Linked DNA regions of Rhinolophus ferrumequinum. The main gene of each other region encodes a partner of the protein of the gene in region 3 in a complex. Links are inferred from orthologs where the notes say so. Each region holds a gene or a part of one and is shown on either strand. Other genes may lie near its edges.

Region 1 (7,762 bases), on a different chromosome or scaffold from region 3:
TCAGAAAATAAGCTAGTATTTTCATGATAAATTTTAGATACCTATTAGTTGTCATTCCAAAAGCTCATTGCATTCTAGATTCTAGAATTAAAAGGGGAGGGTTATACATTTAGGAAGTATAAGCTGAAATGATTTATTACAATTCAATATAGAATATTTATCAGAGTCAAGATAACAATCAATGTGCACAAAAATTTACATAACAAGAGGAACGACAGACAATGCAGCACCTTTAGAAAAAATAATTAAAAATTTTGTTGCATTTACAGATAAGTGCCACACTGAGAATTTACAACACAGTAATTTACTGCAATCAACGACAGGAGAGTTCCATAAAGAAACAAAGCCCTTACACTCCAGATTTTAGAAGGTATTATTGGAATGCTTAACTAGAATCACAGAATTTGTACATCCTTCAGGGTAGAGCTGGCAAAAATCACAAAAGGTTTTCATAGCATATATTATATAAAGGAGTCCACTGTGTTTGGACAGCTGGCTTAGAGTCTCTGACAGGTGTGAAGCCTAGAAGAATTACTAGCTTGATGGTGCTCTTTCTGTATCTGGCAAGACAGACCTTCTTCACAGTAACAACGCTGGAATATCTCCAGCCCATGAGAGCCTTTTCTCCTGTGCTTGGTGCACACTTGACCTTCTTTGAGGACAGGTTTACAGATCTTTGACCAGAAGTGTCTAGCACAACACAGGCCTGTGGCACAATCTGATGATCGGAGACAGACAGAACCTTCTTGTCCTAGGAAAGAAGAGACAATAAGAAAAGTACATTGTCACTGCTAACCCTGCATTATTTCACGAAGGTAATCCAAAAAGCACTTCTGATGTGTTAACAAGGAAGAAAGAGTCTTAAGGTCCCTTAACCTACCTTTGGTATGATACGTTGTTGAAGACAGTGTAGTTCTTCTGGGGTACCCATCCAGGGTGCTGTGATCATTACCAAAGCTTTCAATAATTGTTTCTTCGATTTCCCCTCGATGGAAATGATTGTGATCAGAAGGCATACACAGTCCTAAGGAAGTGGGAGATTGTGATTAACTCCTGAGCTGTACTATGTTACCACTCACAGCTGTGACAGGGACAGCCTGTTATGCCTCCACCAATGTGAGAGACCTGATTGTAGTGACATGATTTTAAACACAAGCCAAACTTCCTAGTGTTAGTGCAAAACCCCCAGGACAGAAGCATCAATGTGTACACTGTGCAGTGATATACAACATCCCTAATATAGCATTTAAAATACTTTCCTACCAAACAGGTAGTGACAGTGCGTCTTCTGCCCATTTTAGTTGCACCCTTGGTTGGGGTAAGAAAAATCAGTCACTTAAAATTTGTTTTTTAAAAATAACTTCTCTGCCCTTCATGCTATATGGGTACTGCCACTAAATTAAGCAAATGCAATACCAGCTGCCTGGAAGATTGCAATCTCACCCACCAGTTACTTTACTGTGTAATTTCTATATTACAGAGATCTAGTTAGTTCATCCTGAAGTATTACTGAGTCCTAAGGAGGATTGCCACCCTTAAGTTTATTTCTGGAGTCTTCCCTGGCTGTCTGAGTCTACCTCTTTGAGACATTAAATTTTAGTGGATCTGTGGTTGGGGAAAGGAGTACTTATTTTAAGGTAGCAGGAGGTGGAGGCAGAGGGGAGGATGAAGAGGCCAGGATGCGAGGGTATCAAGATCTCCCTTAAGAGTGGCCAGCACAGATAAATCATTGTCTTCTGGCTGACAACAGTTTCATCAGGGATCATGAGGGAGAGGCTAGACTGGCAGAGCACAGAGAGGCACTGTAAGAAAAATGGACAGGGTAGCTGAACATCAACGTCCCTTTCCTTGGTATCTGTATAATCCCACTCTTCCTAACCCCTCTTCCTTCTCAGTTGACATTAAGTCTGTTGCAAAACATTTTTTTTTAATGGAGGGGTCCAGTCTGAGATAAGTTGCTGTGTTAAATGACTGAGGGACAGAGGGAGACACAGAGCTCCAAGACCCCTAAACGTTTCTCTCCTCCGAGATAAACACTAACAAAATATCTGAGGGGAACCTTGCATGCTAAATGAATACCCATTTGCACATGTGGCGCCGCAGCTTTCACGGAGCACACAACGTTTTCTCCTATCCGCAAGTGAGCAAAGGCGGGATAGTTTGAGTCCGAAACAGAGCTAAGGAACTCACCGTTTTTGCAGTAATTTCCAGGGCAGCACATAGCATGACGCATGCAGCGTTTTCTGCGCTTCCTGCAGGCGAGACAAATCTGCGATCCGGTGCCTCCTCCCCGGGTAGGACTCGCGCAGTACTCATCCGTGCTGCACTCTTCGTCTTCCACGCACGGATATGGCTGCGGGAAAGGGGCCAGGAGAAGATGAGACACCTAGGCATCCAAGTACCCACACTCCTGGACCTGGACACTAATCTCAGTCCTTTTCTGCCCACCTGTCCAAAAGTTGTTGCCACCTACTGCTCCCAAATACAGGTTCCAAATGCGCCCCGAACCACACACTAGTTCGTTCTATACCCTTCTCCCCAGATGAAATCTCTTCGGGTCACAGCGTTCCCAGATCCCCGAGACCCTTCTCACCTGGTAGTTGTCAACTGTCTGGTACTTGTTCCCTCCAACGTACAGAATTCCCGGAGCCGCGCTGACTGGCGAGCCTGGGTGCCCCGCCGCGCCGCCCAGCGGTGGGGGCAGGTTCTTGATGGCGTTGGAATTGAGAACCAAGTTCAAGGTGGCGCTCACTCCTAGCAGAGAGTGGCCGCAAACAGCCACTGCTACCAGGGCGACCAAGACCCGGGCAGCTCCCACTGCCCCGAGAGCCTTCATCTCAGAAGAACTCCAGAGAGAGAAAGAAAGAGAAAGGAGGAATGTCACTTTGCAAGCCTGATCCCCAACGAAGCCGTGCTGGCGCGGCTGCAGAGTGAGGCTCCCGGAGCCTCCAGCACTCGCACAGTCCTGACTGCAGGACGCATGAAGCTCTGTACCGCCACCGCCACCACGACTGCCTTTATACTGCGGGCTCTGAGCATTCCGGCCCCTCCGGGGGAGACAACAAAGCTGGGATGGGATTTCAAAGCTTTGGGAGGGGCTGGGAGCGGGTGTGTTTGTGTACTTGAATGGGGGCCTTTGACACTCTCCACCCCGCCCTTCCCTTGCGCATTCGTTCCACCGGTCCTGCACACCTTCGGGAGGACTAATCAGTGAGCTTTAGAGCCGACGACTTTAATAAATGCGGAAAGGAGAAGGAACTTTGGAAACACTGGTTCCCTTGCCTTGCAGTAGGGGTTGGGTTATCAGGATCCGAAATACTTTTCAGAACAGAATTGTGATGTTCTCTGCAAGGGCACACTTCTCCTCTCTCCCTAACGCCAGTACTGATGTATTGTGCACAGAAATAATATTCAGCATTAAATACACCCCGATCAGTAATTCAAAGGCTACATCGAAATCTTTCCGGGAAAAGGACCAGGTGGCCAGTGCAAGTTGCTGATTAACCCTTTAGAGTCACGGTTTGCAGACTTGGGGTGAGGTGCTTGGCTTTAGGTTCGCTGAATTCCTCCCCGCTTCCTTCTTCCACCCCCCCTCCCGCCGAGACTGAGAGAAAAATGTGCAAAGAGAAGGAAATTTGCACATCAAACGAGGGTTAGAAGGAAGAAGAGCTAATTCTCTTTTGATGGGAAGTTTAGAGAGGGAGGCGTGAGACTGGCGTTTGGAAATTAGATCATGGGTGGAGAGAAGAGGGAAATGACCATCCGATAATCAAACTATTTAATGTTGTTCTTTGAATCTGAGCAGTCGCAGCAGTAGATGAACTTGATTAGGCAGACAGGCGAGATCAAAGTGGCGGGAGCAAAAGCGGACAGGGTCCAACGGCTGGGTCAGTTGTCCTTCGCTGGTTCCCCCTTCTCAGTGGTGGGTTAATGCAGGGAGATAAGAAACCCTTAAGGCTTAGTTCCTGGCTTCCTCATTAGTATTTCATATCGTAAAGCCTGAGAACGCCTGTGTTTTATCCCAAGTCAGACCTTTGGTGGACCAGGAAAACCCCCTCTCGGAAGTAAAGAGACTAGCTTCAGGAAAAGGGAAGCTGAAAGTAAATCAGAAAGTGAATTTGATGTCATTTAAATCAGTATATAAAAACAATAAAGTAGGGCTAGTGTGTAAGACTGCTCTCCTGCTTATAAATTGGAAATCATTTATTTATTAAACAAAAACAGTGGAAGCTGAGTGCCCTGGCATTAGGCTACCCCCTCCAGGGTTGATGCCCTTGAGGGGAGGGCACAGTGAATACAAATATTTAGACGACTATTCTAATTATGGTCATAATAAAAGGTAAGCAATGTACACGATTCTTTTTAAAACAGTTTGATAGTTAAGTGTCAGAAAATGGAGAACTGCTATGCCAGTTTAGAAAAGGAAGAGAAGATTGAATAATCACTGTCGTATATATTTATTTTCTCCTTCCTAACTTCTATGGGATTTAAAATTACACACTGACCTACGATATCCATGGCTGGGACCATGACCAAGTATAGCCAGTGATGGATAGTCTTGAAGTGGAATAATCCAAAGTTAAGAAAGGGATGGGTACATTTTTTTTTTTTTTAAAGATTGTAGCGGTCTGTGTTCTAGTTCCTTGGGTTTCAGAGGTCATATTAAGAACAGCTTCTAAATAATTATTTAGTAATGCCTCCAATTATACTGGTATCCCTCGCATCCCAAATTCCATCTATCCTGTGAAATGTCCTCTAGCTTATTAATAACTCGAAATTCTAACATAGATTAAATCCCACACATTTCTTTAGGTTTTAGTATGAACATGTACAATAATCTAGACTTGGCTACTGCTCTAGAAATGGTTGAAACAAATTGAAGTTTTGATACAAAGGGGAGGTTGTTTATATTAGCTTTTAAAAAATGAACCTAAGAAACAAGTAAGTCAATACACCTTTTATTGAGACTCGGCAGTGAATCGGCAGGTATCCCTGGGCAGATATGGCTCTCTCCTCAGTTTACTTGAAGTTTATAGAGACGGGAGGTATTATAGTGTAAAGGGGCAAAGGCATAAGGGATTTTTAGGTGCCATATTATCACTTGCAGAATATTAATAACAATGTCAATAATCAATGTGTTGAGCATCTTTGATGTGGTAGAAAATCTAGTCGGTCTTAAATTCTTAAGATGTTGAAATGTGGAGAAAGAATTCCCTGACCTTGGGAAGTGTGAAATGTTCCTTTATATTCTTATTATCCTAAATAATTTTTTTTCTAAAAATATGCTTGTGCCACACTAAAGGCCAATTTCTTTTCCTCTTTTCACAAGCGATGGTACATGCTAATAATACATTTAACAAATTTAGACCATTAAGAACTTGGATTCACAAGTGAAGCTATCTGCTAGTGAAGGAAAAAAAAAAAAGAACAGTGGAACAATTTAATCAGCAAAAGGAAAACTTTACAAAAAGGCATGTTGCATAAACTTATTCTTGATCCTGAATATGTATGTGTCTGTATGGGTTTAATTTTCGTTAAGCTCAGACAGAATCTGTTGTGTTGAGTTAGGGGAGTTTAGCCAAGAGTAGGGTTTCAAGAGCAGACTAAGTCCTACCTCTTTCTTCACTTTCCAAGTTTTCCACACTTTCCAAGTTTCTCCTGAAGCTGTCATAACTTGAAAGCTAAAAATGAATTGGTCAATATCTGAGTTGCTACTCTGTGCTAACCGTGGTCCTTGGTATGTGAGGACTCATTATCTACCTTCAAATAATTGAGTGGGGGGAAGGGAGGTAAACTCACAAATTATATAGGAGAGAAGTTATGCAGGAGGGAGCCAGGCAAATATGTAGCAAGCCAGCTCTGTTCTAAGTGGAACGTTTACTTTTTCAGTGGAATCTCCATTTGAAAATTCTTTCCATGATTGAGTTTGCTCACTGGCAACAAGAGCAGGGTGGGTGAGGTAAAGTGAAGTTCATTGTTCCATCAACAGCCAATTAAACTTCGGTAAGTGCCCATTATATGCAAAATGCTACCCTAGTATACTAGGGGGTATACTTCCTAGTATCTTTGGGAGTATAGCCCCAAAATATTAAAGGCAGTCTCCTTATCCTCAGAAATCTTTCAGTCTATGAGTAAACAAATATACTTACACAGGAATGGGGGGTAAAATATTTTCCAAAACAGATTACATTTTGGCACATATTAGGTCATAGAGAAAATGGGAAAAGGTCCAGGAATTGTAACCAGGAATTGCGACCAACAATCCTCAGGTAAAGAGGATTCTGATGACTCTCTGGGTCTCTCCTACAACTAGGTGAGAGAGTTAGTGGGAGTCAGGGCAGGCATAGTTAATTGATTACACCTAGTTTATTTAGTTCTGTTGGGAACCCCACCTCCTCTTTGATTTAATTTAATTATGACCATAATCCACTAGTGCAAGAAGTTTAATATTTTGTATTAAATTTTAAAATAGGTAAAATATGTTTACTAAAGTGAAATCTAACCTTGTAACTCAGGAATAGCACGGTACTGTGTGCCTTCCTCACATTTTAAGTGCTTAATGCCAGACATAGATTACTCATCAACCTCTTCATCCAGAGGAAGACAAACAGACAAATACACTCCAAAAAAGATCACGCTATTCACAACTATTTTTCCATCGTTGTTGTTTGAGATTCTTATGTGACTGCTGCATTTTTAATTCACTCCCTCTCTTCCTCCTTTCTTTCCTCCCTCCCTTCTTCCTTTCCTCCTCCTTTCATTTTTTATCTTTGTTAAATCAAAGGAAGCAGATCTGTTGCCATTTAATTTTACTTCACTCAGAGAACATTGGATAAATGTCATTCCTTAGGGGTGTTGCCAACATTTTTGTTGGTACCAGTTTATAGTAGAGATTCCTCATTGCTGAGTTTAGTTTTTCTTTTTTTTTCTTTTTTTTTTTTTTTTAAAGAATGTTATGACTTTCTCATTGGCTTTTAAAAGATTTTGGTCTCAATGCTCATCATGATGTTAAAAGAGCTTTTAGACCAGGCCCCTATTATGACTCCTAAGAGGCTGGATTAGGCTTTTCTGCACCCCTAAGGAGACAGAGAAGGCGAGATTTGACAATGATTACGTTTATTTGGTCATTGGAGATGGCCAGCCCAGATAAATCAGGCTCCATGGTAGCTTTCTATCCTAGCTCAGAAGATGTGTTTTAAAGGAGTGGGACATTAAAAAAAAAACAAAAAAAACCCCACTAATCCAAGAATAGAGCCCAGACCCAGAAACTTTTGATTAAAAACCAGAGAGGACTTTTTCTGATTTCCTGATAATCAGAAAGGTCCACAGTGTGTACGAGGTCTGACAATTACGTTTGTGAACTTGCCACCGCGCACTTACATTGGCAGCACAGTACAAACAGCTCAGTAAGGTTTCATAACCTTGGTATATCAGTGTCTCACAGCTGTGTTCGTGTTGATGTGTGATGGTGTCTTGCTGAGTGGTGTTCATTATTGTTGTTGAGCGTTTTCGTGTGCCGTCGCAAGAATGTCTGAGTTTGAATTAGAGAAATGAACAAACATTAAATTTCTTGTTAAACTTGGCAAGAGTGGAAGTGAAATCAGAGACATGTTAGTCCAAGTTTATGGGGATAATGCCATGAATAAAACAGCAGTGTACAAATAGATTAAACCTTTTTCTAAGGGAAGAGAATGTGTCACTGATGAAGAGGTCAGGGCGGCCAGTAATGAGCAGAACGGAAGAAAACATTGCAAAAATCCAT
Region 2 (7,543 bases), on a different chromosome or scaffold from region 3:
GCCATACCCTATTGTAAGCAGGAGCCTGTGTTACAAAGTGCTTTGCAGCTCCTCTCTCCCATCCCTAAGAAGCTGCTGAATGTACAAGTAGGATTTCCATCTGTGCCAAGACTCCCCAGAGAACAGTTCTCAACTGTGAATAAAGACGGGGCGATTTGGACAGCCCTCAATGCAGGCAACTGCCTATAAACAGATTTCCCTCCAAATCCATATATTCCATTTTCGCCACTGACCTGTGGGACCAAAATCTGTTCAAAAATGCAGCCCTCAGTTTCCATGAATTAGAGACAGGTGGCTTGAATACTAAGTAGAGAGTGAAACTTAGATGGCCTTTGAGGTTCCTCTCACATCAAGGATTCTATGATCCTGTGCATTCAAAGGAGTGTAACTTACTTTCCAAATTTGGCGTGTCCTTGAAAGTCTGATGGAAATGCTACGTCTTTCTATGAGGATCCCAGATCCACCTTAGGGGGAAGGGAGTGTTCTCTCCTCTGAAGGCCCGTAACACTTTGTCCCTTAAAAAAAAAAAAAAAGCCTCTGAACCTTTTTTCAGTGGCACTAATCACTTTCTATGGAGTTATTTGGTTGAAGAATTTATTTCTTCCCTGTTACAGGAGCTCCTGGAGGGGGAGCGTGTCAGTTCATAGCACCCGGCAGGAGGTCTTGTTTCATTAAATGTTTAGCAAGTGGACGTATGAACAAGCAGTGTGGTAGAAGCAATACCCAGTAAATCATCATATAGAAAAAACAGCCTTACTAGGAATTTAGGTATGGTATTACAATATTAAATTCAATTTAAAAAATCTTAGCTCAAAACCCGTGTTGGCAGCCTGGTGGAGAAACATGCGGTTATGGTTTGATTTGTGTCCCTCCAAAATTCATATGTCAAATCCTAACACCTAGTACCTCAGAATGGGGCCTTATTTGAAGTAAGGTTATTATAGAGGGACCATGTTTCCCCGAAAAGAAGACCTAGCTGGACAATCAGCTCTAATGCATCTTTTGGAGCAAACATTAATGTAAGACCCCGTATATATTATATTATATTATATTATATTATATTATATTATATTATATTATATTATATTATATTATATTATATTATATTATATTATATTATATTATATTATATTATATTATATTATATTATGACCTGGGTCTTATATTAATTTTTGCTACAAAAGACCCATTAGAGCTGATTGTCCGGCTAGGTCTTATTTTTGGGGAAACAGGGTAATTACGGTAAGATCATTAGAGTCAGCCCCAGTATGACTGATGTCCTTATAAAAAGGGGGAATTAGGACATGGACATGCACACCGAGGGAACACTGTGTCAAGATGAAGGCATGGATCAGGGTGATGCTTCTTGACAGGCCAAGGAATGCCAAACATGGCCAGCAAACCACCAGAAGCTAGGGGAGAGGCATGGAACAGACTTCCTCACCGCTCTCAGAAGCAACCAACCATGCCAACACTCTGACCTCAGAGTCCCAGCTTCCAGAACTGTGAGACAATACATTTCTGTTGTTTAAGCCCCCAGTGTGTGATACTTTGTTCCAGCAGCCCCAGCAAACTAATGCCCACTTATATGTCACTGGTCAGATTGGGGACCTGGCTGGGATTTCTGGAGAACAACCCTGCAACATGTAGCAAACTGTTTACCCTTTTGGACTAGCATTCACTTCTGGAAAATACTTTAACATTTGAAAAAAAAATTACTTTGTGGAATACTACTGGGCAATAAAAAAGAATACATTGTGGATAGTACATGCAACAACTTGGATGAATTTCCAGGGAATCATGCTGAGTGACAAAAGTTAATCCTAAAAGGTTACATACTAGTTGATTCCTTTATATAACATTTCTGAAATGACAAAACTGTAGAAATGGAGAACAGATCAGTGGTACCGTGGGTTAGCGGTGAAAAGGGTTGGCATGGGCGGAGGGTGATTCTAGTTATAAAAAGGCAACAAGAGAATCTTTGTGGCCACAGAGTTGTTCTTTATCTTGGCTGTGATGGTGGCTACTTGACCCTGCACATGTGATAAAGTTTCATATAACTAAACATACTCACGTACAAGTAAAATGGGGGAAATCTGAATACGATTGATTGGTGGAGTGTATCAATGCCAATATCCTGATTAGGATGTTTCACTATAGTTTTGCAAGATGTTACCATTGAGAAACTGGGAAACGGTACATGGAATTGTCTCTGTATCATTCCTTACAAGTGCATGTAAATTTGCAATTATCTCAAAATAAAAAGTTTAATACAAAAAATTACTTTGTACAGGATGTTCATAGCATCCCTACTGAGGATAGGGGAACACTGAAAATAAACTACCCACAACAGAAGTCAGCTAAAACCCCGGGAGTTTAAGTGCGGGAGTATTGCTGAGCTCTGAACAGCGATAAACTTGTGGACTGAGTAAAGCTAAAGTTGAATTAGTGTTATGTGAAAAAGCAGATGGCATCATAGCAGGTTCTCTCTGAGCCATTCTGTGGAAAGTATGGCTATACGTTGGCAGAGAATAATTCAAAAAGATGTAGATAATTTAGAGATTCAAGTCCACTGGATTCTTCTTTTTCTCTCATTTTAACATTACTTCAGTTTCAAATAAGATAATGACATGAAATAAACAAAATCCTGAGTCTCTCCACTCCTAGTCCCTGGCTCCTCCTTCTGTTTCCAGCAGGTGGCAGAAGTGTTCCAAGGATGGTCCCCACGGTCTCTGTTTCCTTTGGATGGGCCAGCAGCTCTCAACAGCAGGAGGGGCTCGAGCATCAATCCCGCCAGCTCAAGGAATCCAGGCAGCAGAACTGTCTTCTCCGAAGCCCAGGGCAAGGAGGCAGTTGTCTGGCCTCAATAGGGTTAACAGTCCACATTCCAGAACAAGGGAAAAGGAGACTGGTGGGTCACAGACAGGCAGAGGGGGTTCTGGAGGGCCAGCTTCTCACAACACACAGCCTCTGTTGGGAGAGATAGATCACCCCCAACAATGGCCACAGCTGTTTTCGTCTGCCCTGAAGGAAACTGACTTAGGAAGCAGGTATCAGAGAGGGCCCTTCCTGCAGGGGCTTCTGTCTGGCTTGTAAAACTGTCAGAGCAGCTGCATTCATGTGTCGAGTGATGGATGATGGAAAGAAGGAGGGACAGATGGCCACAGATGGACACAGTGACTTACAAGTCCAGGCAGGTGGCAGAGGCCTGGCAGAGGCTCTGCAGGTGGGGCATGCTGATTCATTGCCCAGTGAAAATACCAAGGGGACCTGGGCCACAGCCCTCTTCCCAGCTCCTTCAGGGCCGGAGTGGCTGCACCTCCTCAATCTGTCTGCAATGAAAGCTTCCGCTGGCCCTCCTTTCTTTTCCTGCACCTCAGGTGTGAACCTTCCTGCCCCTGCACCTCTGCCCCTCCCAGGCCCCTCATTCTGCTCCAGGGCTGAAGTAGCAATTCCTTTTGGTTTCTTTGTGGCTGGCTGGACCTGGGGTGGCTTCGTGGAATCCTCCCCGTGGTATGCATCAATCAGATTTTCCATATAGGACTCAACGCTGGTTTTGAAAAATGAAATGGGCTGGGAGACAGAAAAAAAACACGTCAGCACTAAAAATGTTGGCCTTGGCTTTTGCTAAGAAAATGGATTTTGTGCTCTCTACTCCTACCCGCAGCCCGGCCAAAGAAATAACTGTCTTTAGCACATGCGCCTGCGAGCCACAGTGAGTGTCCTGGCCAAAAAGTGCCTGTCACCGTGTGCGGGATCCCTGAGGAGCTTGAAATGCAGTTTCCTCCTTGAGCTCCAGCACCAGTTCCCGTTGACTTGCTCATCCTGGCTACTTATAATGGGAATCCCCATCTCCTTGCCCAAGTGGGCACCCTTGCTGTGGCCCTCAGTTTTCCCTCTTGCCTTCCAGAGGATGCCAAGCAGGGCTTTTTTGATCAGAACAATCAATGCTGAGCCTCATGGACTTGGGACCAATGAGATTTCTTTAAAAGCATGCTTCTGCCTCTATTTGGGTCTGTGGGGGGCCAAATTGACACCCCCTAGGGCCATTTTTTCATGTGACAAATGAACTTGGCCTTAGAAATGGGATCAGTAGGGCTCAGCCCTATGGAGGATTCAGAGCTGCAGTTTTCTTTGTTAAGCTTGTCCAAAGTTTGTTTTGAGAAAGCCTGAGGGCCCCAGGAAGGTAGAGATTAAGAGCCGGGATTCATTTTGATATCTGAAAACCACAGCCGTCTGCTTGTGGGAGGCGCTGGAGAGCAGGCTTGCCTCACACACACACCCCTCTCTCTGGGTCACCTGGGAGCACCAGCAGCAATTTGGGAGTTTGCTGCCCTTGAGGAGAAGTCTTTGTAGCGGGTTTGTTCTGAGCACACCCCTTTCCCTCCCCCTGGGCTGAGGAAAGCATGGGACCAGCACTGCCCCAGCCTGTCATTGGCTGGCACTAGGCAGAGGGGGCTTTAAAAAGGCAAACGTGTCTGGGCTGGGGACTGGAGCTTGTGCTACTGGAAGGCCAAGTGCCCTCCTCCGGCTGGCACCATGCAGCCCTCTCTTGCCCTGTGTCTCGTCTGCCTGTTGGTGCACGCAGCCTTCCGTGCGGTGGAGGCCCAGGGATGGCAGGCCTTCAAGAATGATGCCACAGAAATCATCCCTGAGCTGGGCGAGTACCCTGAGGCCCCGCCAGAATTGGAGAACAACAAGACCATGAACCGGGCGGAGAACGGCGGAAGGCCTCCCCACCACCCCTTTGAGAACAAAGGTATGGGGTGGAGGAGAGCACTTTAAGCATAGGGGTCCTCTCATGGGAGGGTTCTCTTTGGGACGTGTTGAAGACTAGGGTAGACTGTTAGCCACTGCCAGCAACGGTGGAGGGACAGTCTTGTCTGGAAGCAGGAGAAGGATGACCTGCCAGCAGAGCCTGGGAATCTGAGTGCAGTGACTTGAGACTGGCAGGGGGCAGGATGGAGGCTGAGGTGGTGAGGGTACAGCATTGGGACAGGCTCCGAGGCTGGGAAAGCTTTCAAGGGATCCCTTCCTGAGACTACAGGAGCCTGGTCCAGCTGTCGGCACCACTGAGGAGGGAACAAGGCAAGGGAGCCTCGTATCTATGAGCACCTGCTGGAGGCCAGATGCTCTCTGTGAGCTGTACATGGGCTGTCCCCCAGGGACCCACCACGTGGAAGCCCCCTAAGGTGAACTCCCAATTTGAAGGTGAAGAAACTGAGGTTCCAGAAATGAAGTAATCTGGTAGTGAGTAGAAGAACTGAGATTTGAACCCCTTTTGATCCAATTCCAAGACAGCCCAGGTAGGGGATTATGGGTGGAGTGTTGGGGACCAAGAGCCAGAGCAAATCCCTCTAAAGCAGTGGGAAAGGGATGGCAGAAAAGCACTCCATCAATTCCCCCTGCCCATGGTCTGCCCGGTGAGCTGGCACTTGAAGGAATGAGAGTGTAGGCACAGTTTTAGCCTCTGGGTGGCAGCTGGACCTTGGAGGGGAGGCAGCATCCTCTGTGCAGGGAGTAGACACAGGTGGCACCATCTGTCCTGGGTCCCCACCTCATATTCGACCTTGCCTCATTTCTGGGGAGGGAGCCTGACCCTACTGAAAAGTCAATGGCCCCAGTGGAGGGTACACCTGGGTTCCTGATCAGGTGCCCACAGAGAAGCCTGTGGGGCAGTGTGCACAGCTGGCTCTGCAGCTGGCAGGAATGGCTGGGGGTGGAGGCTGGGATGACACTTCAGACTAAGGGCCTCAGTGCCCTCTGGCCATTGTCCAGAGGGGAGAGGAGCCCACTGCCCAGGCTCCTACATTCCATCCGTCCCTTCCTCCCAACTAGCTGGGAACATGGGGCTCTGCCAAGAGCAAAACCAGAGGAGCCTGGGGGTCCCTTGGGTCTTCCTACCTGGAGGGCGGGCGTGCCCTCCCCCTACTTCCCCCACCCCCAGAGAAGGTCAACTAAGCTCAATCCATGGGCTCTAGGGGACCCACCTATGAGATGTCCACATCCCTGAGCTCCCATGAGAGGCCACAAGCCCCAAGGAAGCCACTTGCTCAAAACAAAGTCACCCTCTGAAGAGGAAGTGCCTGACCTAGGGGCACTATTCTTGGAAAGCCCAAAAGCCTTCTTCCCTGGGCAAACAAGCCACCCCCACACACCACCCCTGCAGCCTGGGAGCAGGAGTGAGGATGCCAAACCAACCCAGAAACCAGAAGGCCAGCCACAGGAGGAAGGCAAGCTCCACATCTCCCCTGCTGTGTTTGCTCTCCAGTGTCTGGCTCTCTCTGCCCCCTCTCCGGTTTTGGTCTTAGGATTATTTTTCATCCCTTTGTGTCACATGGGTCCCATAAGACTCTTGGGGGTGGACAGATGCCCACACGAGGATCAGCTGTTTAAAAAGCTCCCGCTCATCTAAACCCATAGTAGAAGACACCATCAAGGTGACTTTAGGGGCCTAAGCCAGGTCTCAGAGCTCAGTCTTACCCCACCCAAGAAACAAGCCTGTGCCACCATCAAGTGTCTATTCAAATGGCACAGAGCAAGAGACGTGTCCAGCAGGGTGCCTGGTACACAGCAGGTGCTTAATAAATGTTTGTGGCAGTTGAGCCTGTAGGTTTTCCGGCAGAGCTTGGTCCCCTTCTGCTAGGGAAGTAACTATAGTAAAAAGCAGCCCTCCGCCCCGCCCTCCCCTCACTCCCCAGCCCAGCCTCCCATGGTTGCTTAGGCACACAGCTTCCACCTGTGTGGGAGCCAAGAGGTGCTGGGGCCCCAGGGAAGTAGAGTCAGGAGACCCAGCTCTGCCTTTTGGGCAAGTGCTTTTCCCTGTCTGTCCTCAGTGATAATGAGGGGGTTTGCCTTTGGCTCCTTTCAAGTCTAATGACTTGTCCTCCTCTCCACCTCTCTTCCATCCTTCTCCTTAGCAGCAGCTGCCCTGATTTATCACCTTCAATTAATCCCTACCCCTGTCTCCATCCCCTAACCGCCCCTCCCAAGTGGCCAGAAAAGGAATTTGGGAGAAGCCAGAGACATGCAGACGGTGTGGCTAGTACCTACCCTGCCATGGCCAGGGACCCTGTGGCACAGGTGTGACCGAAGTCTGGCGAAGAGGAACAATAATAATACATAGTAACAGCCAACACTTCCAGCTTTTACTATGTGCGGGTGGTGTCCCCTGCATTACATATGTGATGGATAAATGAACGGAATCCTCAAGACAACCCATTTTACAGATAGGTTGCAAAAATACCAAAAACCAAAAACCAAAAACCAAAAAAAAAAAAAAAAAAAAAAACCACCAAAACTTGGCTTCAAAGTTTTAGGAGGAGAGGGTGGGCTGGAGAGCTTCCCACCGGCTGGGCCCTTCCCGTAATAGATGCCCAGAGGCAAAAGAACCCTGTCTGGAGAAAGGCAGGTTTGGGGAAGGCGGGGTGAGGGGGATGGAGGGGTGTAAGGCCTAAGGCTTGGAGGGAGCCGCCGCCCTCACGCGCGCCTCTCTCCGCAGACGTGTCCGAGTACAGCTGCCGCGAGCTGCACTTCACCCGCT
Region 3 (7,610 bases):
TGGTACTCTAAAGCATATATTCTAATAAAATATGTCCTCTAGAAAATCGGAGATACAATCTTTTCTAATCAGTACCTGGACGGAACTAAGAGAATGGTAAAAATAACAACCTAGATTGTGAGGTCCGTTAGAGCAGCGACCATGAGCCTGAAATATAGTAGGTATTCCAACATATTTGCTAAAAGCATGAACAATAAATCCCTGCTTTACCATTAGATACTGATCAAGTTATAATCTCTCTGAATCTGAGTTTCCCCACTTGCAAATGAAGCGGTCAGACCAAAATGACCAAGATCTCACCTACCTTTAAGAATTCATGAATCTTACACAAATTATTAATAAATCTCAAATCTCCAGCATTTGAGGCCATGTCCACAAATAACCAAAAACTATAACAAAAATTAATATTTGTAGGTCACTTCATAGTCATTACTTCATTTAATATGCCCAGTAAACCTGAAAATTAGAGTGGTATTATTACCCACATTTTACAGGTAAAGAAACTGAGGCCCGGAGAAATTGCCTGGACCAGAAACATAGTTATTAAGTAGTGAAGCATGGACTTGAAACCCAAGATTTTAGGGTTAAAATCTCCCATTCTTTCCATTCCACCCTGTCCTCTGATAATAGGGACGGAGATGCAGCCTAGCTGATGACGGCATTATTCCCCAACTTTCAGCTCTTAACAGGGCTACAGGGCAAAAGGTTTCCCAAACTCTCTCATCATCCCATCTTCCCAGTTAAAGCTCCAACTCTTCAGTAAAGAAAAATGACCTTAATACAACAAATTAATCACATTTTTTTCCTTAGAGCCCAAGGTGAACTCGTATCACTATTATAACAGAGGATGACATTATCAAAGAATAAAAAGAAGTTAATTATGAATACAATGTTTCACAATCAAAAGACAGTTTTAGTTCAAATGATATGTACTCACAGTTATGTACTGTTACATTCAAAGACCACCTTATGTCATTATTATGTTACATTTAAAATGAAACCTTCACTTTTGGAAACTTTGTTTGCTAGCAGGTATGAGGCCATTTAAACTACTAATGCTTAGGTCTTGTTACAATACTACCATACTTCAAAACACTACTTCAAGTTCAACTTCTCTTAATTCCAGTAATGAACAAACCCAACTCTAGGCTCAAACTTGGTGTTAAAATAAACAAGTGTCATTTACATCACACCCTTCCCCTGCAAGAAATACAACTGGGCAACCAGGAGCATCCCGGGTTATGGATTTAGATTTCCCCAAGACTTTAACCAATCAGCTGACTCCCACATTTGTTAACTCTTATTTTCTGTCTTCAAATATATACATCTTCTATGTCAAATATAATTGTTTCTCACAGCTATGGCAAAACCCCCTTTCAACAGGGAGTATACTACAATAAACATATACTTATTAAACCTCTCAAGTGCGTAAACACCACATTAAATCCTCTGCCAAGAAAATTAAATGAGCATTATCTTTCTGGGGGTTACATGTGGAAACAGTTTGGAATACGCTTAGTGAGTCCTAATTAAGTAGAAGTAGATAAAACATACAAACATCATAATCCTGCAGAAGAGGAAAGAAAAACAATTCTTCCTCAAAAAAGAAAAAGGTCACTTATGCTCACCCAAACTAAACCTACACGTACAGAAATGGCACACCTGGCTGATTCATATCGCAAGATCGTTAGTTACTATCATGTTCTGTAAACTTCAGTACGTTCTGGAGGCTTAACAAAAGTTTAGCCTATTAAATCAATAGCTAAAAAGCTCCATAGATTCAAGAGGTCCCATACCTGAAAAGAACTGACCGGGAACGGCAAGTGAGACTTTTAACAAAACCAAAGCTACAAGCCTCTGCATCAATCAGGATTTAAATTCCTCTCCTGGTAAAGGCTCAATAGCATCAGACTGATCACCACTTCACCACTGGTAAGTTTGAGAAGAGCTGTTGATATCTTGCCGGCCAGTCTAAACCTTAGTGAACTGTCACAAAATCAAAGTCACAGCATATGTGACAGCTTCGCATGCCAATTCAAAAAACCACAGGACCATCGAATGTATGCGATTCTCAGAGCAAATTACATAGAATAGCCTATGTTATTTACCAAAGTGCCAAGCAGTCCCCAGGGGAGCGCAGCAAATGATAACTTAGGTCCCAGGACAGGCTCCTTTTCACACAAGGATGACTTTCCCAGTTAGTGCCAACTGTACACTCGCATGCTCCGAAAATAGGGGCAAGTCCTGAGCACCAGGGGTGGCAAGGGCAACGCTTCCATTTTATTATGGGCTGAAGCTCCGAAGATTCCCAACGCTGAATCGCTCGACCTATAACCTCGGAGTCACTCTCCAACTGTGCTCTCACCCAGAATCATTATATCCCGAACGGAAGCCAATTATTAGTTGTAACAAGACCTGGAAAAATAGTACGAGGACCCTAAAAGTGCACATGAGAGACACAGAAGAGGTGGGGGCTTCGAGGAAGAAGACCAACGTTAAAGCATCTTGGGCTCCAACATTCTAAACGCCAAAATACATACAAAGACCCTGCTCCCGGATGACTGCAGGCAGAAAGAGACACACAGACCCTCAGTCATTCCGACAGCATGGGACTCCAGGGGTTCACCTAGACCAGCAGCCCGGGCTGAGGCTCTGATTCGTCCCGAGAAGGTCTTACACCGAGGCAGGGGTCTGCATTGTGGCCAGACAGAGCGCACAGCCCCTTTTCCCGGGCCCCTTTCCCTCTCCTTCCCCACCACCAGGCCTCTCCCCGCTCCTCTTCTCCTTTTCCTCCCTCCCTCCCCTCCCCCCAGACACACACAAAACAAGGCCACCTCCCCCCCCAAATCCCACCAACTTTCCCGTGTCCACCCCCCCGCCCTTCCCACCTCTCAGGAGCACACAGAAACTGCAGGCCAGGAGGCTCCTCAGGACGGCCCCCATCTTCCCTTCTTGCGTTCTCTTCTCTCACCGGCGAGGGGCGACCAGAAGAGGGGGAGGCGAGGAGCCGGGGCGGCCGCCGCAGCGGCAGGTCTGCACGCTCATGCTTCCCAGCTTGCCAGAGAGAGAAGAAAGGGGCACGTCAGGGCTCCGCGCGCGCCGCCGCCGCCCTCTCTACCGCGCCGCTCTGGCCAGGGTTCGCGCGACGCCAGCGTCTGCTTCCATCCCGACGCCTCCTCCCCCGGCGCCCCGCTTCCCCCGCGCAGTTCCTCATTCAGCCTCTTCCTCTCACGCAGCGGCGCAAGGATACGAGCCGCCCGTCGCCGGGATGCGCGGCCAAGGTGTCCCTGCGCGCGGCCAAGGTGTCCCTGCGCGCGGCCGAGCCCCCTCCCTGGGCACCCCCTCTCTGGCAGGTATGAAAGAAAGTGGGGGTGCACGCCCTGCCTCTGCTTGGAGACTCCCGGAGATCTGCGGGGCGAGCAGAGGGGACTTGGAGGGGATAGACCGCGCCGCGGCGCATTCCAATGGGATTCTTTGCCCGGCCGGCCGCTGAGCCCTCCCCGTGGAGGGCGTGAAGCGACGTCGAATAACATTGGAGCCGGCGTGGTCGGGACTACTTTCTGCTGCTCCGCCGGGCAGCCGCCTGCTCCGCTCTTTGTGCGGCGGCCGCCGGCGGAGCCAGGTGGACCTGCGGGTCCCCGCCGGCAGCACCTGGGCCGGGGTTCCGGGGGGCGGCAGGCCGGGGGCGCCTGAGCCGCAGATCCACGCTCGGGGAGCCACGTGGATCCCGACACGGGATGAGCAGCTCCATCTTCAGGGTTGGAAATTGGTTTAGGCAATTTTTTAAGGAAAAGAAAAACCCGTGCCCCTGAACCCCAGCTTCAAACGTGGATCTGGTGAAGGATGCTCAAACCCCAACTCAAACTCAGGTTTTTTATTTCTCTCCTGGCTTCCCCGAACTACAGACTCCCCCCCAGAATTAAGTCCTACACGAACTAAAGATTTCTGAAGTGGCAGATAAAATTTCAAGATAAATGCGTCAGCACCTAAGACAGAGCAGAGGGACAATTGGAGAGGACTGAGGATTTTACAAGTTGCCTTTTAATAATGAATGTTCGGCATGTTTTGATGATCAGTTCTCGGCTTGAGGAGGAAAGGATTCCCCAGAATCTGACTCATTTTGCACAGCCTCTGCTACTCCCGCTGCACTGGGCATTGAAGCGGAGCGACCCAGACGCTCTCGGATATTAAGTGGCTGAAAGGACACTCCCAGAGTTAACCATAATGGAGCTATCTGGTCCGTTCTGTCCAGCTGTTACACACCTTTACCTGGGGGCACATGGGAAACAAGTGGAGCTACTCCAGAAATGTTACTAGTACCGAGTGACATTGGAGTTCACCGAGTGCTTGCACACACATCAAATTTGACACTCAAAACTACCCTGGGGTAAGACAGGTTTTGTTACTTACCCTCGATTGCACAGAGGAGGAAAAGAAGAATCTGAGAAGTTCAGTGACTTACCCAAGACTCAAATACTGAATGGCAGGACCCAAACTTAAGCCAGGACTTCTTACTTCACTCTCCTCCTTCTAAGAAATGCAGGCTGAACCAGGGCAATGCGTGTCTGTCAGCAGATACAAAGGCAGAAACAGCCAAATCATTTTCTCATAAATTCATCTGAGAAAGTCTACCCACTATTGATTTCAATTACCTTCTACCAAGTACCATGTAAGTGCTGTGCAAGTTTTGTATTCTGACCTCAAAACGCATAACTGAGAACCCCGTTTTTCAGCAATAGCCTAGGGAATTATTGTGAAGCTACTGAGTCTGTGGAGAAACAATGTTAGTGATAAAAGCATGAAGTTTGGAATGAGACTCGGGTGAGGACCCAAACCCTACTAGTTACTAGATGTGTGACTTGAGGCACGATATTTAAATGCACTGCACCTCAGTTTTCTCCTCTGTAAAGTGGATATAATGCCTCCTTCAGGCTTGTCAGAAGGATTAAATTAAATAATATATATAAACTGCTCAATATATAACAGGTGTTCAAGAAATGACCATTTCTTTTCTTTCTCAACTCCTTCAAGGTGAATGGTGTCATAGTAACTTGAAATATTGGGAAATAATGGGAGACAAAAATTACATGCTCAAAATGTTTATTGCAGAATTATTTATAATTGGAGGTAGATAACCATGAAGCTAGTGAAACTTGAACTTCATGACCGCTCACTTTCCCAAGCCCCTTCCAGAGCCCAGGGAGGGGCCCTAACAGTGTGGTCACATGGGCCTATTTGCAAAAGTCAGATGATTTTGCATCCTTTTTCTTTAAACACCCCTCAAAATTGTATCAATTTCAAGTCCCACAAAACTAGGATTTGTTCCTATTTATAACAGAAAACTGAGGACAACCTAAGTCTCTTTAGGCTTTCAATCTAAGTAGGAAATGAGATATTATTATACAATGCTGAAAAAAATAATAATTTGGAAGACTGTGCAACAGTGTTGGAAAATGTTTGTAGTTAGCTAAACTTAAAAGCATGTAAAAGTACATGTACGTTTTAATTACAGCTGTATGAAATATAAATATATACATAAACACGTGTTTTATATATATATATGCATATATATATATATATATCTCACGTGTCTGAGCAAAGAAAGTAAATGCACTAAGATAGACATTAGGATGGTGAAATAATATGAGATTTACTTTTCTGTTCTTAAATTTCCTTTATTATATTTTTTTTCCAAATTCTTTTAAGTTACCTAAGTGAAAATCTCTAGCTTAACCTTAAACCCTAGCCTGGACAGTATTCTCACTATTTAACTAATTCGTTTTCACATTCATTCAAGTGTCTGTTAAATATTCAATGTCAGTCATTGTATTAAGTGCTGGTTGTGCAAAGATAAGATTAATCATAGTCCCTACCCTCAAGGAGCTTACAACCTAGTTTGGAAATACTAATTAATAACACAAATAATTAAAATGTTTAAATTGCTATGCTGCAGAACTGTACCATATTAACAAGGAACTCAAGTACCGAAGCGCTTACTTCTGCCTAAAGAATTTAAAGAAGAGAAAATAACCCTAGAGCTGCGCCTTGAAATACAAGTCGGAGGTTGTCAGGCCAACAAGACTGACAAGGAATTCTAAGCAGAAGGATAGCAGGTGCAAAGACACTGAATTACTAGACAGCTCTTGGCATGTTAGGGATTTGAAAGTAGACACATATAGCTGAAGTATAGGTTGCTTTTAGAGAATGTCAGGAAATGAGTCAAGACCGTTAAGTAGGTATTGGATAATAAAGAGCTTTATTAAGTCATGCTAAGAAGTTTAGATTTTAGCCTCTTGACAATTACAGACAGTAAAGTATTTTTCTCATTGATTTGCAAGTTAAATAAATTGGCAGCAGTGTGGATAATAGGAGGGAGAGATAAGTCTATGAAAAGGATGGTCAGGCCAGCAGCACTGGGAACTGAAAAGAGATAATGGATTTCAGGAATATGAAATCAAAACAGCAGGATTTGGTAACCTATCAGATGTGAATTGAGAGAGAGAGATCTATGATGAATTTCTAAGTTTCTAAGATAGGCACCCCAGTGAATGGGAGTCTCATTTACGAAGAAAAGAAATGCATAAAGAGTTATTTCAAGAGGGGGTGACGATAAGCTAAACAATGGGTCTTTTCTATCGGCCGTGTCTGTAAAACCTCCAGCTGGAGATACTCAGTAGACAGGTTTGATACAGAACTTTGGACCCGGGAGAGGAATGGAAAACACAGCTATCCATAATGATTATGGAGGTCATATGACACACAATCCAGGGGATATATTGTAGACTATTGAATAGTGACTGAATAGTTATTACCACAGTTTTCTGGACAATGACAGTAAGGTGTCTTCAGAAAGGGAAACCCTATTCTAATTCAGGTGAAGTCACCTCTGGGCCACCTCATTGATGGACTAAGGCAAGACGGAGATTATGGTTGAAACCATAAACTTAAGGAAAGAATAGAGCATTTAGTGTGACCAGAAAAGTGAGCCAAGACAGAACCGTGTGGTATTCAAGTATCTAGGAGCAACAAAAGAAGAGAAGCTAGGGAAAGAGACCAAAAAGGTGCAGGTGGAAAACTGGCTGAAAGTGCTGCCATGAGGAGTTGTGGTCAGTAATGTGTAGTGTGGAGAAGTCAGCTCAGAGAAGCACTGAAAAGAAGCCACTGTGAGTTATGACTTCCCAAAAGGTCATTGATGGGACCATACATTATACCAACATTTTTAGAAAGCAATCTACGTTCAATGAATAAAATACGCACACCTTTTAAAAAAGAATCCCACATCTTGGACTTTATCTTCAAAAACAAAAGTTTATAGAGATATTTGTACACGGATATTTATCATAGTATTGTTTGTAGTAGAAAATAATCACACACACACACACACAAAAAAAATGCCTACAAATATGGCAGTTTTATATGGTTCAACCTAATCAAAAGAACCTGAATGCACTTCAATAGGGAATAGTGAAATAAACAATGGTATATCTGTACTATGGAATCTATACAACTGCAAAAAAGAATTATATAGATTTATACGTAGTGATTTAGAAATGTAGACTTGATGTATTTTAATGGAAGAGCAAGTTAGAGAATATCTATGGTGTGAATGA

The links.
Region 1: the proteins of LRP6 (region 3) and DKK1 are in contact, whole or in part, in a crystal structure (PDB 3S8V), measured with the Homo sapiens proteins. The link is inferred for Rhinolophus ferrumequinum from reciprocal best matches to the Homo sapiens genes LRP6 and DKK1. Residues at the interface, in NP_001401174.1 of Homo sapiens: Arg639, Glu663, Ser665, Ile681, Tyr706, Glu708, Thr724, Arg751, Trp767, Gly768, Gly769, Pro771, Val790, Gly791, Arg792, Asp811, Thr812, Asn813, Leu814, Pro833, His834, Phe836, Trp850, Ser851, Tyr875, Met877, Arg1184; in NP_036374.1 of Homo sapiens: Glu185, His204, Phe205, Trp206, Ile209, Gln218, Val219, Thr221, Arg224, Arg225, Ser228, Gly230, Leu231, Glu232, Ile233, Phe234, Arg236, Ser258, Leu260.
Region 2: the proteins of LRP6 (region 3) and SOST are in contact, whole or in part, in a crystal structure (PDB 6L6R), measured with the Homo sapiens proteins. The link is inferred for Rhinolophus ferrumequinum from reciprocal best matches to the Homo sapiens genes LRP6 and SOST. Residues at the interface, in NP_001401174.1 of Homo sapiens: Arg28, Asp52, Val70, Ser71, Glu73, Leu95, Ser96, Asp98, Glu115, Arg141, Trp157, Trp183, Asn185, Ala201, His226, Phe228, Trp242, Met269, Arg336, His361, Asp379, His404, Asp406, Thr422, Glu447, Arg449, Trp465, Trp491, Asn493, His534; in NP_079513.1 of Homo sapiens: Leu115, Pro116, Asn117, Ala118, Ile119, Gly120, Arg121, Arg169, Thr171, Arg172, His174, Asn175, Gln176, Ser177.

The regions. Positions count from the first base shown.
Region 1 is NC_046299.1:35,191,539-35,199,300, reverse strand, and holds the start of DKK1 (dickkopf-related protein 1), read right to left. Parts: upstream 3,032-7,762; 5' UTR 2,837-3,031; coding exon 2,594-2,836; intron 2,354-2,593; coding exon 2,191-2,353; intron 1,025-2,190; coding exon 881-1,024; intron 752-880; coding exon 498-751; 3' UTR 1-497. UniProt on the Homo sapiens protein: Antagonizes canonical Wnt signaling by inhibiting LRP5/6 interaction with Wnt and by forming a ternary complex with the transmembrane protein KREMEN that promotes internalization of LRP5/6.
Region 2 is NC_046304.1:38,984,288-38,991,830, reverse strand, and holds the start of SOST (sclerostin), read left to right. Parts: upstream 1-4,470; 5' UTR 4,471-4,539; coding exon 4,540-4,759; intron 4,760-7,501; coding exon 7,502-7,543. UniProt on the Homo sapiens protein: Negative regulator of bone growth that acts through inhibition of Wnt signaling and bone formation.
Region 3 is NC_046293.1:27,146,603-27,154,212, forward strand, and holds the start of LRP6 (low-density lipoprotein receptor-related protein 6), read right to left. Parts: upstream 3,021-7,610; 5' UTR 2,944-3,020; coding exon 2,889-2,943; intron 1-2,888. UniProt on the Homo sapiens protein: Component of the Wnt-Fzd-LRP5-LRP6 complex that triggers beta-catenin signaling through inducing aggregation of receptor-ligand complexes into ribosome-sized signalosomes.